2 linked regions of the Styela clava genome follow. The protein of the gene in region 1 purifies or fractionates together with the protein of each later gene. This does not show direct contact. Links are inferred from orthologs where the notes say so. Each region holds a gene or a part of one and is shown in the gene's direction. Other genes may lie near its edges.

Region 1 (7,081 bases):
TTCACCACGGCTTAATTTTTGTAAGAATGTATCTTCTTGAAGAAAATCTTTATCAAAATTTCACAAACCATGCGAAAATATTCACCTCAATGTTTGGAAGTACATATCTGTGCGAACAATTATTTTCGAAAATGAACATTACAAAGAACAAGCAAAAAACTAGGATTAGTGATGCCCATTTAGAAAATCTTCCAATCTTGGCGTCGTGATCCTATCAAGCGTTATGCAGCAACAAGTCAGTGTCACATTGAATGTCATTGTAATATTTTTTTAATACGACGACTCAGTTGAGTTCACGAATTGTCGCAGTTTCCGCACGATGTTCCGTTTTTAACTTTCAAAAAATATATGCGATCCGCAAAAGAATAGCAACCCTAAATTTTGTCCCTCGAGCGACTTAAAATTTACCGACCCCTAGGCCATCCGAGTCCACGAATCCAAAACAAATGGCTGATTAATTCTATAGAGTGATCGGACTGGAGGACGTGGTAAGATGAGGAATCGGGGATGCATTTTACCGGAGACCGTTATATATATATATATATCATGTATTTTGGTGAAGGTCATCAGGCTGCAGGGATGAATAAGATTTACGAAAATCATTATTATAAGTTTTGGAAAATTAATTTTGTTTTCATTATTTCAATGTGAAATGGGGTAAATTTACGGAATTAAATGCAAGAGTACACGGCGGTTTTTGAGGAGGTAGAACCCTGAATTCTTTCATTTCCGACCTCTGATATGGTGAAAGAGGGGTTTTTAGCCGTGCTGCTATTGCTATCAAAACAACTAAATCGCCTTTCCATCAGTAAACGGGGTAATTTTAGATGTAATGAAAAACTCGCTGAAAAACACCAAGCTCATCCATCTCACTAAAAAACACTATAAACTATGATTTGTCTCCTTATTTGGTCTGTAATATATTCGTTTCAGACTTTCAATTTTTTTTGCAGTGCCGGGGGGGCGATGAAGTTGTATAAACTACTATAGGGGGCGATGGTACAAAAAGTTTGGGAACCACTGGTCTATACTATACGTACAGCCAGCGGAACAATACGAAATAACCATTTTCAACAGCCAAACAAAACGGGAACGTATAATCCGACTTGCAACTGAAAGGAGCCAAATGGACGTTTTGTTTTTTTGCCGTCCAGTAAACAAAGTCACGCGACCCGTGCCTCTATCTATACTGATGTCTTATTTTGTCCTATAATAAACTGTAATATTTCTGTCTACTGTTGATTTAGTAATACCCAAGACACATCACACAATGTACTTTTCAATTAACTTGAGGATAATATACACATGTAAAATTAGTAATTGTTGTCCACTGACGTCCAAAAATCTAAGGTTGATTTTCCTGCGCTCCATCGACATCTAGTGTTAATCCGGACATCAGAAATAAAATTGTATTGGATTATATCATTATATTGTATTTAGAACAACAGGCCTTCCTCGCGGCAAGAATTGGTTCCACTTCACAATTTCGCAAGTACCGGTATCACAGGTTCTATTTCAGTTCAAGAAGTTTTGTTTCGTGAAGTTATTTTCAGAGCTGTTCTTCACATTATCTAAAAAGTGAAAAGAAGTTATTCAGGAGGTTACGGTATTCAAGTTTTCCACTAATCGGCAGGTTACGGCTTTCTCTACCATCGAGTCCATGCTTCCGAAAGCAAATACCGTAACTCTGTAACTACTGAATCCCATACCCGACATGGAATGGTAACCAGACGAGAGGCCGTTAGGATAAATATGTAAAATCCTATCTCAGTATCTAGGAAATAGGCTAATTAAGTCATGTCTGCATGTGCTGACAACAGGACAATGGCATTCTGGCATTTGCATTTTGTTGTAAAGCAGGGTTGCGCCTGTACGCCAGCCCACAATTTTTCAGATTTTGCTCTCTTATTTTTATAAATATATGCATGATTAACCTTCTGACTTCTATGAAATTCTGGACTAGAGTGACCTTGGTCTTCTGAGACAAAAATATTGATCTAGCCTAGGTACTTTCTGTATTGACTGAACCTAATTTCGGAAACAAGAAAGCAATACTTGAATACACTGATTTAAATGGCAGAATGTGGTATGACAGATTAATTATAGATTAATCTCTGAATCCAAATTTATTAACACAGTACGGCATTTCAGCCTTTAGAGTTTCGAGACAGAGAGAGTTCCCTGAATTTGCAACTGTGAATAGATCTTCAAGGTTTTTCCCATGAAGAATCAAGTCATAAGATATTTCACTTCATTGAAATTCATTGTCAGATTGTTGATTCTGCATATTAGTTTTTTTGTCTTAACTAGAAATCTAAACTGGAGAAAATCTAGAAAAAGTTGAGAGGATACTGGGAGACAGTTAAAAATCTAACCATTTCAAAAATTGTTATTTGAAGTTTCTATTCAGACCAATACTTCATATGTTCATTCAACTCCTAACTGGCAGATAATTCTAGTCGGTTACTTTAACTTATTCCAGTATTCGTCAATACTATAGGTCAGCGGTTCCCAAACTTTTTTTTCATGCGGCGCCAATTTATTAGGAAAAAACACTCACGTCACACTTACACCAAAAAAATGCTGCTTCTGAGTAAAACTCAATTTGTGATTGTTAATATGTAGTTTATTCTATTGGAGTTTGTAAACATGCAGGCCTGACAGCCTGAGGAATAAAGGCAGATGGTCAACTTTTCTTCCCCATCTCTGCCTGATTTTTCTTTGAAATGCAAAACAAATCACTCATGTTCGCTAAATACTGTTCAGCTTATAAATAAACTGCAGCTCGCGTTATTGCAGCAAGCAGTAGCTATCTCTATTGTTACGTAACAATAGAGGTAAATACCACGTAACAGAAAGTAAACGACATAGAAAGGTAGAATGAATTTATTGATTTATATACACATTATTTAAAATAAAAATAAATAGAACATTTATAATAAATACAATATGTAAAATATTCAGTTACATGTTAGTTATTATGTTTAACCAAATTTTGTTAATTTTTGTGACGAATTTGTCACGTCGCACCCTTTTCGGAACCGCTGCTATAGGTGATGTATATTATAACGTAAGTTACCCTATTATCTCCAAATGACCATTTTCACATACCACCTTGAGCATCGCCCCACTGTTGTCGCACTTTGAGATACTTCTGATTATTAGTTGTTTTCAGATTGGCCATTGATAAATAGTAAACACATTCTGTCACCCGGTGGCATAAGGCAGTTTAATAAAAACGTGCTTTTTTTGATGACGTCATCACACAAAACTTTGAAGTGAAAAATGTATCTTATAGATTCCACATAAGTTTTTGAAATAATATAAGTAATAAACACTTCCAGCGACAACAATCTTTAACCACTAAAAATTTCAAAGCAATTGAATCTATATTTATAGAGAAAAACAACTTTTTATAACAACAAAAGGAAGAAAAAATACCAATATTACTAACAACAACAATAATTTAACAAAATGATCCATAGGTCCAATAATGCAGTTATGAGAGGGAAGGAAATCAAAACAGCTCTGGAGAAATTTATTGTAAATTTATTGAAAATTTTATAGAAGTATTATAGACTTAGGATGAATTGCAATAAAAAGTGGCAATAATAGGAGATAACTTGCAATAATTTCAGGAAAACAACAAGACCCATAAAAGTTTAAAATATAACTAAAAAGGGTTTTATACAAACGCTTGTGACCCCCTCAAATATTATTCATTATTGAAGACTTATTATGGTTGTTAGTTAATCTACCCAACTATAATTTTGAAATGATATATCCATACAAACAGAGTGAAGACATATAAATAGATAAAGCATAAAGACATTCTCATAGATTTCAGTTCCTAACCATAACTAATATCACTGAGATCACACAACCGCTAGGATTACATACCGAAGGACCACCGGTAACTCGTCAAACTTTTCTTGAGTAAACTAGATCCCTTATTCATCACTTTGGATTTCCAATTAGTTGAAACACGAACACCAAGTGGTTGTCTAATTTATGCATATCGGTGTAAACAGAAACACCATATCCATAACTATCTTCTTTAATTTAATTTCAGACTTGTACTCATATTGATACTATAGATTGGTATTTATGGATTAACTCGAAGATAGATTTTGACTACAGAGAAGGATATAAGGATTTGATCTGAACTTTCATTATTGAAGATGGCAGGTACTGGAGTATTTTTTTATGATTTGATATTATGTAAAATCTTATATTATATAATAGTGCAAATTCCTGAAACCTATTATTTTCATCAAGGTTATGTTTTCTCTGTTAAAATTCAAACCCACAAGTTTCGCTCAGCTGCTTATAACTACTCACGGAATAGAATTATGACATGGCCATTCTAACTTTTAAATTCAATGTACAGTGACCTCTATGTGTTTTAGTTCAGCTCAATTTGAATTAATGTTTGATATTCTTTATTAAGAGTATCGTTTTAGAATCTGCTCGGAATAGTAGTGTTATTTTTGGACATCCTTGATTGAAAATTGCAAAATTACAGTTAATTTTGAACACCCTTTACAGCCAACAAGTCTATATAAATATGCTGAGAAAAGCAGAAAGTATATTTACAGTAGTTTCCGTCACTCACTTTGTTGTGTAATTGTTATTGAACTATTGTTGTAAATGATTTCATTTCTGTACATTTGTTTTGGTTGGAGTTTCTGAATGATCCATTATGAGGTACTCCCGTAGTATGTGTACCAGCTTAGGGTTAGGCCAAAATTTTATTTCGAATTTCCTTATTTTAGTTCTATTACCAGTTTGGGGACTGGCTGTGTTAGCAAGTGAATATCCTCCTTGAGGTTTGAGTCCCTTTACACAACTTGATGTAAAATAGGCGAACAAAATTAGTTACCTCCATATTTGTACACATACTTCTGGAGCGCCCATTATGATGTATTTGGTCATACATACCCGTACTTCTGATACATATTGCTGTATTAAATTTATTTTCTGTCTGTGTTTTAGGTGCCATGCATTGCGATTTACCGCCAGCTTATGTGTATGAATCAAATATTCATATTGGAAATGTCTTGATAACGCTGAATGAACAGAGAAAATGTGGATTATTATGTGATATATCAATCATGGTTCAGGTATGTCAAATTATTAGATCAGGAGCATTGTTTAAAAGTTTTAAAAAGGTTTGTATTGTTGTATTATAGTTCATAGTGTGCCTCACTCGTGTTTAGTGATGAAATATTGCTCTAGTTCTAGGTAACGGTATTGTTCCATACAGTCAGACAGGAGACATCTCTTATTGTTATTCGTAGTCTTGGAATGAGTCATCCCACTGCTGACGCACGCACGAATTCTTTTCAAAACATGATTAAGCTAGTTTTGCTTCTGCTTCTTTAGTTTTTAATGGAAGATGGCTATCACTTCTGTTTTCTTTTACTTTTTCCATCTGAGTGTAATAACAACATTCAAACTCTATAATAGGACAGATGTTATCTCAATTATTAAAATGCAATCATATTATATCAATTTAATTTTAATATGATTTGATGCAAGACATATTTCTCCATTACTGGTGGAAACTACTCAACACCCATTTGTATTTAATAAAGGAGTTAATATATTTCATTCAACCTTTGTTCAGTAACGGTGCATCTCAATAAAATGAATTCAGAAATATTTTATTCATAAAAAAGTTCAAATTTCTGTTTTTTTTTCTTCTAAACCTTATCATATATATTTGTGTGGCATAGTGATTTTACACTGTAAAATTGATCTTACTTTCGATTCGGCTAAAATAGACTGTTTAGAAATATATCACTTTTGATTCAATTCAGGATAATGAAATGTGGCTTTACAGATATCCATGTTTTCCCTGCACCAGTAGTATGCTTCTATTTATAACTGATAGTCAAAATTCCGAATTAAGCGAAATTAAGCAAGAAATCGGTGATGTTTAAAGAGATTGAGTGGAGTATCTTTCTCTTGTATATAGAAATTTGTTCATGTCTATTTTGCGAGCCATATAATCCAATCTTTTATTGAACAATTGCATATACATTAAGCTTTTTATTAATGTTGAATTATTGCTAATGGAAGATCAATCACTTGATATGGTCACCGGTCAAGTTATCTGTTTTATTGCTAAAGCTTCAATTTTGACTTGATAGTGTTATATTCATGTGCTATGGACTACCAGAATGAAGTGCTTATCAAAAAAGCATGACCATATATAAACAATTTTCTATGGTGATTTATTTAAATTTGGTGCCATTGATTTCAGTTGAATTGATGAAACTGGTATTATAGTTGCTCGGTCTGATACAAATCTATTCACTTCAGTTTGTTAAAAAAATATCTGGGAGAGAAATCAGTCAAATTTTTTTATTTCAGAATCTTCAAGTGTCCATGATATTATCAGATTACTATTTGCTCTGCCAATATCTAAACTAGGCTAAGTTACTGAAATGCTACAGAATAAACTGAATTCTTACTAAAGATATTAACATGAAAATGTTTGTTAAAATGTAAAATTCTGAGAACCAAATGTTTTGTTTATTTTCAGGATGCAGAATTCAAGGCACATAAAGCTATCTTGGCATCATGCAGTTCTTATTTTAATAGAATTATTACAGATCCAGCGAACGTTTCTCATAATATTGTTTTGGAATTGAGCAGTATAAGCAAGTTAGTAGTTTTCTTGTGTATTAGTGTTTATTTTCATATCATATTCATCTTACTTTGTTTAAATTGAAAAACCTATTAGTTATTACAGACAGTACTTGTTTGATATATTTATTAACTATCTATTAGAAGATAGAGCATATCTAGGGTCTGGTATAGTTTAGTACCACATCCACTTCTAGTTGGCCTGACTCAACAATTTTTGCATATGTCAATCCTAACCCCCACCTGACTACGTCACCGATAAATTACGTCATTCCGACGTCACAGTGGCGTGATAAGGCCCACCGAAGTATGCGAATGGTCGTCCAAAACACGCAGACGATAACCCGAAATCAAGCAAGCTATTTCTCTCGTTTTCTCGTCGCAACGATCACGATAGGAGAGAGATAGATCGTCGGTTTTAGCAACT
Region 2 (6,842 bases), on another chromosome or scaffold:
TATATGAAAAGAACTATAACGCCATAACAAACAATCTTGATTAGCTAATAATCATTGGTCGGCAGAGGAATTGCATGTTTAAGGATGCCGAAATATAATTTCTGGAAAGTCCGGATCCGAATATCTTTGAAGTTTTGTATGCGGACCTTCGGTAAAAATAGTTGAGTAGCCCTGGTAGTATATGTACCGGGGCATTTTCCCTTAGGCCTCCACAATGGTACGTGCAGTACTGGAGCGCCGTAAGTTTTGTACGAACAGTTCAGATTTGTTGAATTCACAAAAATACGAATCAAAACAAAATATAATCGGGCACTTTACCATGCATTTTGTGTCCACTGATTGTCATGATATTTTCTGATTAGTATTGCTTTTATTTCGTCAACACAGCCGCAGATTAAAATGATAATCATTAAATTAATAATAAAGCAAGGTGGTGAATATGTATTTTTGATTTACAAATATACTTTAAGTATATTTTTAATAAGTACTAAATCAAATCTTGTACTTTCTAGAAATTTATAGCAGATTGTAGGATTTTTCTAACGACGATAACAAAAAATTTGCAAGATCTCTAAAAGTATGTATCAAACCTAAATATAATCGGGCAATATGTTAGCAGATTGCCGTGGCATTTTAAAGAAGTAATGCTATCATCTTGTCGTAAGACGACGCAACCGCGAGTTACCATGAACGCAATTAAAATAGAAAGACAATTTAAATTCTCGTCGTCGTCACTAAAAAGTCAACTGTTTTAACGGACGCGTAATTGCGGCGAAATTCTGATTTTGAAATTCGTTCAAATTCCGTTGTGTTTGATTTTATTGCTTCTTCACACAGAGTACGGTTACAATAAGCGGCTAAGCGCACCTTGAATCCGCAAAGGTTTTCGCTGGTGAGAAATTGGTCCGCGACCAAAAAAGGTTGGGAAACGCTGCGCTAGTGAATCTGTATGCATATGATGCAAGAATGCTGTAGCAGGAATAAAAATACCATACTATGCAGTTCAAGAGTCCTGCTGCACACTAACACAAATTTATTTCTGTAACATACAACAATGACAACTGCTTGTCTGAGAAAGTCTGATTTTGTTCATACGAATTGTTACAGAAATACATTCGTGTTAGTGTGCAGCAGGACTCTTGAATTGCATAGTTCATTATAATTGGCTGAAATGCTTTCTCGCTTGGGCTTGATAACCAGCTTTGGCTCCCCGCGTATTTCCTTCCCAGTAAAACTGTGTGGTAAATTTTATCTCATAATTCTTTTTTCTATCGTTGATTAATCGGGATTTTGTTTCTATGTGTGTTCGTATCTCTACTTTTTTATGATTCAATGTAGTCGGCTAATGTTGATATTCTGCTTCAATGCTTCTATTATCATTACTGTTTATTGGTTTGTCTGTTTATGTCAAGCATTTTTGGAATATATTCAGACTGATATAGTTGGGTTATTTACACGTAACATTTTACGTGTTAGTAAGTTAGTTAGTTAAGCTTTACGTGATACCAACATCAGAATCGCGTAAGTTTTAACGATTTTATGGGCCATTTGTCAAATACCCTGTGTTTCCTTCTTTAATTTTTGCAGTTGCATATCGGAATCACATTCAGTAGTTTGTAGTTTCTCGAGTTCAAATGCATGTATGTGCTTTAGAAAGCGCTAGACACGTACCGGTGTCATTTTCGATTAAATTTTATTAAGAGCAAATATGTTTTACGCAGGTGAGTGGAAGTAGTATGTATTTACGGTGGAAGCGAATGAAATAATACCGTATCTCGTAGAGCGTCATCAGATCCACCTCTGGGCACCACCTCAGCATGATGCGTGATTTTTCATGTACTTTTCACAAAAATCTTAAGCTGTTCAATATCTGCAATAATTAATTTTTAATGTATGAATTATATAAATTCACCATTTCCTGAAATAAATAACGCAACCATTCACCCGGTCCAAATAATTCCGTTCCGTTAATAAGCACAATCGTTTTCGCGGTATTTATTTTTCCCTTCAAACTGCCAGACGTTATTGAAGTTAATGGCCTTGTGCAGATCAAAGTGAATAAAGTCACTTTGGTGCAGATCAACTAGAACAGGGGTCGGCAACCTTTTGTCGCTCGCGGGCCAAAATTAAGGTTGCAAGTCATTGGCGGGCCGCACTTATTTTTAGAAAGTTTAAAAACCTAACGGATGGTACTTCTTAAAATAAAAATCAAGCAGTGATACATCTCTTGAATAGAATATAGTTTTATTTCCTCATTGCATCTCATAAAATTCCATTTCAATAATTTCAGCGCCATTGAACCCTTTGCACTTAGCATCAACTTTTCTGCGTTTTGTTGCCATTTGCCTAATTATAATTAAATTGTGTGCTCATTAAACGAGTAATTGTGAATTATATAATTGTTAGGTTATAATATAATTTAGTCTAAAGAATATATTCGTCAAAGCGGATGTTTTGTTACTATAATTTAGTGAAGCGTCGCGGGCGGGATCCGGCCCGCGGGCCGTAGGTTACCGACCCCTGGCCTAAGTAGTAAAATCGGAAAATGTGAAGTTACAAAATCACAGCTAAGGGGTCGTTGTCTTTAGAGGCGTCCCACTTTGATGTCACAAAAATATGGTAACCCTAATTATAAACGGATGTTTTGTTACTATAATTTAGTGAAGCGTCGCGGGCCGGATTATAGTGCTCCGCGGGCCGGATCCGGCCCGCGGGCCGTAGGTTGCCGACCCCTGAACTAGAAATAGTTTGTTGTTTTATGGACTTTTTTTGTTATGTCTGCGGGTTCGATGTTAGCATCTACCTGTACCAGTCCATGTCGGGTACCGGTATAGGATTAGTTTGTCTGTTAATTGTTGTTTATTTCGGAAGCATGTAGTTCTACTTCTAGTGCAGTAGCGTTGGGTTTACCGGTATATTAGTCGGTGTCTAGGCAGCAGATCATTAATGTCAGAATGTTGAAAGCATTTTGTCAATTGAGGAATTGTAGTTTAAGTATTTTGACTGTGTAATCAGCACCAGAAATGAAGTATTATGAAATTACCGGTACGGCAGTTACCGGTACCGGTATCTAATATCAGAATATATCGGTATATCACAAATAGTGTATCAATTTTGTAATCAGTGGATGTGTCACAGTGTCAGGGTAAAGGCGCGGCGGTGTGGCTCAATGGGCTAAGCGTTAGGCAGTTAGGAATACGCTCGCCACCGCACCTCTAATTATTCTGCGTGGTTCCGCAGGTCAGCAGGTTCAAATCCCATGTAGGGATGGTTATGTGCGAGAGGATTGCTGGACTCCTCGCCGTCGTTGGGTGGTTCACGTAACCGCTGGTCGGTTACGGCTTCCTCCACCACCAAGCCCATGCTTCCGAAAACAAACAATACAGTAGACTAAAACTAATCCCATTTGGTAAGACTTGGAATGGTAACCGGACGGGAGGCCGTGGTTCGCCATATGGCTGTATGGATAAGCCGGCTTTTCTTTCCCCCAGGATAAATATGTAAATTCTATCCCTCCTATCCTACTGTACGGTACCGTATATTAAGAAGGAGCACTCACTCATGGCTTTCGTTTCTTTCGCTAAAATGCAAAAATATGATTGCGGCTGTACAGCGTACAGGAATAGCATGAATGGTTGAATGGATTATACAAAGAACAGAAGAATTAGGCTTCTAACATCTGAACATGGAACATGCTGTACCAGGGCTCTCTACCAACAGACCAATAATAAAAACTATCCAAGACCATTGGGGCATTTTGATCTCCACTATCTGATGATCTGAACAAGTAGCTTATTAGAAATAACTGAAATTAGATTTTTGTTTTCTATTATGTGTTTCCAGTGTTATATATCTCTATGTGAATTACTTTCAAATTGTTATAATAGTTCCAACTTTCTGCCATCGGCAGAAAAATGTCATTTCCAAGAGCACAAGTAAAACGTTTCAATGAACAGCCAGGTAAGTTTCACAATTACCGGTACTCTGATCGATATTTTATAAATACCACTAAACATTGAAGTCCTATTTTAGTTGTCATGAAAAAGTCTAGACAGGCCTGTGGAGTCGTATGCTTCATTTATCCTTCTGTTTATTTATTATGTTGTTTTATAGTAATAAAGCAAATAGCCATATTTATAGCGGATCGACAAAATTTAAACTGCAGTGGGGAACCACTGTTCTACAACACATAATTTTTATCTGTTTAATGTGAGAATTGTTGCCATATATTGTTTTCTTATATTCTTAATTTCCAGGATGTGCACCTCCCCCTGGTCATTATACTGTGCCTGATATAAAAAAGAGTGGTTCTGGTATCTTGTCTTTTGAAACTGGAGGACAGAGATTCAAAACAGAGAATAAATCGGAGAGAGATGCCATTGATGATGTCACAGAACAACTTTCTACCGCATTAATCAATCACAATACACATTCTTCATCAAAAAAGAAATTAGATTTTGCTGTTCCTGCACCAGTTTCAGTGAGTTTTATGTTATATTTTAGTAGTTTCCAACCCTTTTGCAATATTTTCTACCATTTACCCATCTTCATTCGTTCCTGGCTAAAAACTCATTTTTTGTTTGTTGTTCTCATTAGCTAGTGATATGCACAACTTGTATGCGTCTCTGTTCTCTTTTCTCATACATTGAATAATTTATAAAATGTGCGCATAAACGAGTGTGAGATATTACGGAATAGCTAAAACATGTACTACATGCAATAACAAAGTAAAAATTCCCCCAAGGTTGGGAAACCTGGTTATATTCGATGTTTGCCAGCTATTTCACCTCATCTACATCTTTTTGGGGGTATGAATATTTATTTTCAAAAAACAATTCTGCTTTTTATTCAGACTTGGTTGTTGATGATATTCAAATGTGAAAGATTCTATATTCCTTGAAGTGAACATTCCCTAATATGTAAATTATTCTATCAATGTAGTTATTGTGTATTTTATTTATGTGACATCCATAGATGGCTTTAGAAAAATAAAACCTCTTTGTTTATTTATCTTAAAGTGGAATAAACACTTTCTGGTATTGAAGTGTTCCTTAAATTTTTAATTAGATCGTGATCAATAATATTTTTTCGTTCACATAAATAGTTCTGATTTGTTGATTTAGTATTAGAGTCTTTTTTTAAAGAGCAACATATAGAGCAAATAATTTTGAAATAGTATCTTTCAATTTATTTTGATGATGTACAGCAGTGAATTCGATTAATCCTATCAGATATCCCACTTTATTTTTCATTACGTAAAATCTAATGTCACTAAAAATGTCAATTAACAATGACTAAACCTTTTTTACAATATTTACCAGACGAAATCAAAATCCAATTCAAATAAAACGACACCTCATCCATCTCCATCTATGAATGGCAAAGATAAACAACGATATGAAAAAGAAATCCGAAGCCTGGTTCAACAAATTAGCGAACAAGAGAGAAAATTACAACTCAAAATTCAGGTAAATATTTTTGGTCATATAGGACATAGGTTCTCAAAGTGCTCCGTACGGAGCCCCAGGGCTCCGCGAGAGGAACCCAGGGGCTCCGCGAGCTATTCAATTACTTTTCAAAATACTGACTAATTTTGTAACTGTTTAAAGAAGCAATAACAGCTTTGATAAAATCTGACAACAATATGGCCTCGAATTATGGCAAAGAGGCTGAATTAAAAAATGACATTATTTATAAGCAGGAGCGCAGCCAGGATTCTTAAGAGGGGGGTGGTTCAAAATTGGAATCGGAAATTACCGCGCAACATTCTTCGCGATTAAAAAAAACGTATAACGAGATTTCTGTTGTGTGAAATATTCAATCCATGACCAATGCGAGCATTTAACGTGTCTCGTCGTTATAATGTAATTGTGCTCATCGTTACTCACGTTCGATTCGATATTACTATTAGGATTACTAAAATGGAAGAATATTATTCTGAAATAACATAAAATATGTGATAAACTGCCAACTATCAATAAATTGGAGTCGTATTTTTGCGATATTGGGATTTGTCAAACTTGATTTGTTCTTTCGCACTTGAGATTATTTTTAAGCAAGATATCGCCCTTTAAAAAAACACAATGTCTGGGCAAAATACGAACAATTGAAATTTATTTTATTGCATTCGGCTCCGTCGGTAGTTTCAGAATGAAAAAAGGTACATCGCGGATCCCGCGCACAATTGATTGCGTGCGGCTCCGTCGGTAGTTTCAAAATGGGAAAAAAAGGTAAGCCTTGCTCAGGAATATTAATCCGAAAGTAACAATTTTAACATTTATTTTGGGGCTCCGTGAATAATAGTTAACCTTTTCAAGGGCTCCGCAACATCAAAAGTACCCCTGATATAGGACATTTGCTGCAGAAGTTGTCAATGAGGTATTTAATGGCTTCTGCTCCAGAGTCATAGTTTTAATGTACTATGCAGGCAGTGGAACTGGAGCTTTATTTTTCACTTCTGAGTCCTGAACATGGCTGTGGGACAAAAATACATTTGTCTTAAAAATTTAAAATTAAATTTCAATCAATTTATAAAAAAAATTATACTCTAAAAGGGATAGATTCTATTACTTTTATAAAATTATATAAATAGGAAAAACTAATTTGACTGTTTGCTGCTTGAGCTATTAAACTTCCTGGCAGCTGCGACTACAGCTCTATCAATTATGATAAACTTGACTTTAACAAACGCTAGGGGCCGGCTTCCCAGCCATTGTGCAGAAAACCAATTTCCCAAATACTTATTTAAAAACCAAGAAATACTTTTGGCAATAGGCAGAGTTATCAATAAAGATGTAATGCGATGCCGATGGATTTTCGAATTTTTGTCTCAATGAAATCAA

What was found.
Region 2: the proteins of transcription regulator protein BACH1-like (region 1) and uncharacterized protein LOC120332374 purify together in Homo sapiens (affinity purification with mass spectrometry; 6 studies listed by BioGRID and IntAct, counting the BioPlex papers as one, with this or other methods). This does not show direct contact. The link is inferred for Styela clava from reciprocal best matches to the Homo sapiens genes BACH1 and HMMR.

The regions. Positions count from the first base shown.
Region 1 is NC_135250.1:11,746,476-11,753,556, reverse strand, and holds the start of transcription regulator protein BACH1-like, read left to right. Parts: upstream 1-4,050; 5' UTR 4,051-4,181; coding exon 4,182-4,188; intron 4,189-4,995; coding exon 4,996-5,123; intron 5,124-6,550; coding exon 6,551-6,672; intron 6,673-7,081. UniProt on the Homo sapiens protein: Transcriptional regulator that acts as a repressor or activator, depending on the context. Binds to NF-E2 DNA binding sites. Plays important roles in coordinating transcription activation and repression by MAFK.
Region 2 is NC_135262.1:5,431,909-5,438,750, forward strand, and holds the start of uncharacterized protein LOC120332374, read left to right. Parts: upstream 1-3,815; 5' UTR 3,816-3,914; coding exon 3,915-3,960; intron 3,961-4,256; coding exon 4,257-4,480; intron 4,481-5,321; coding exon 5,322-5,468; intron 5,469-6,842. UniProt on the Homo sapiens protein: Receptor for hyaluronic acid (HA). Involved in cell motility. When hyaluronan binds to HMMR, the phosphorylation of a number of proteins, including PTK2/FAK1 occurs.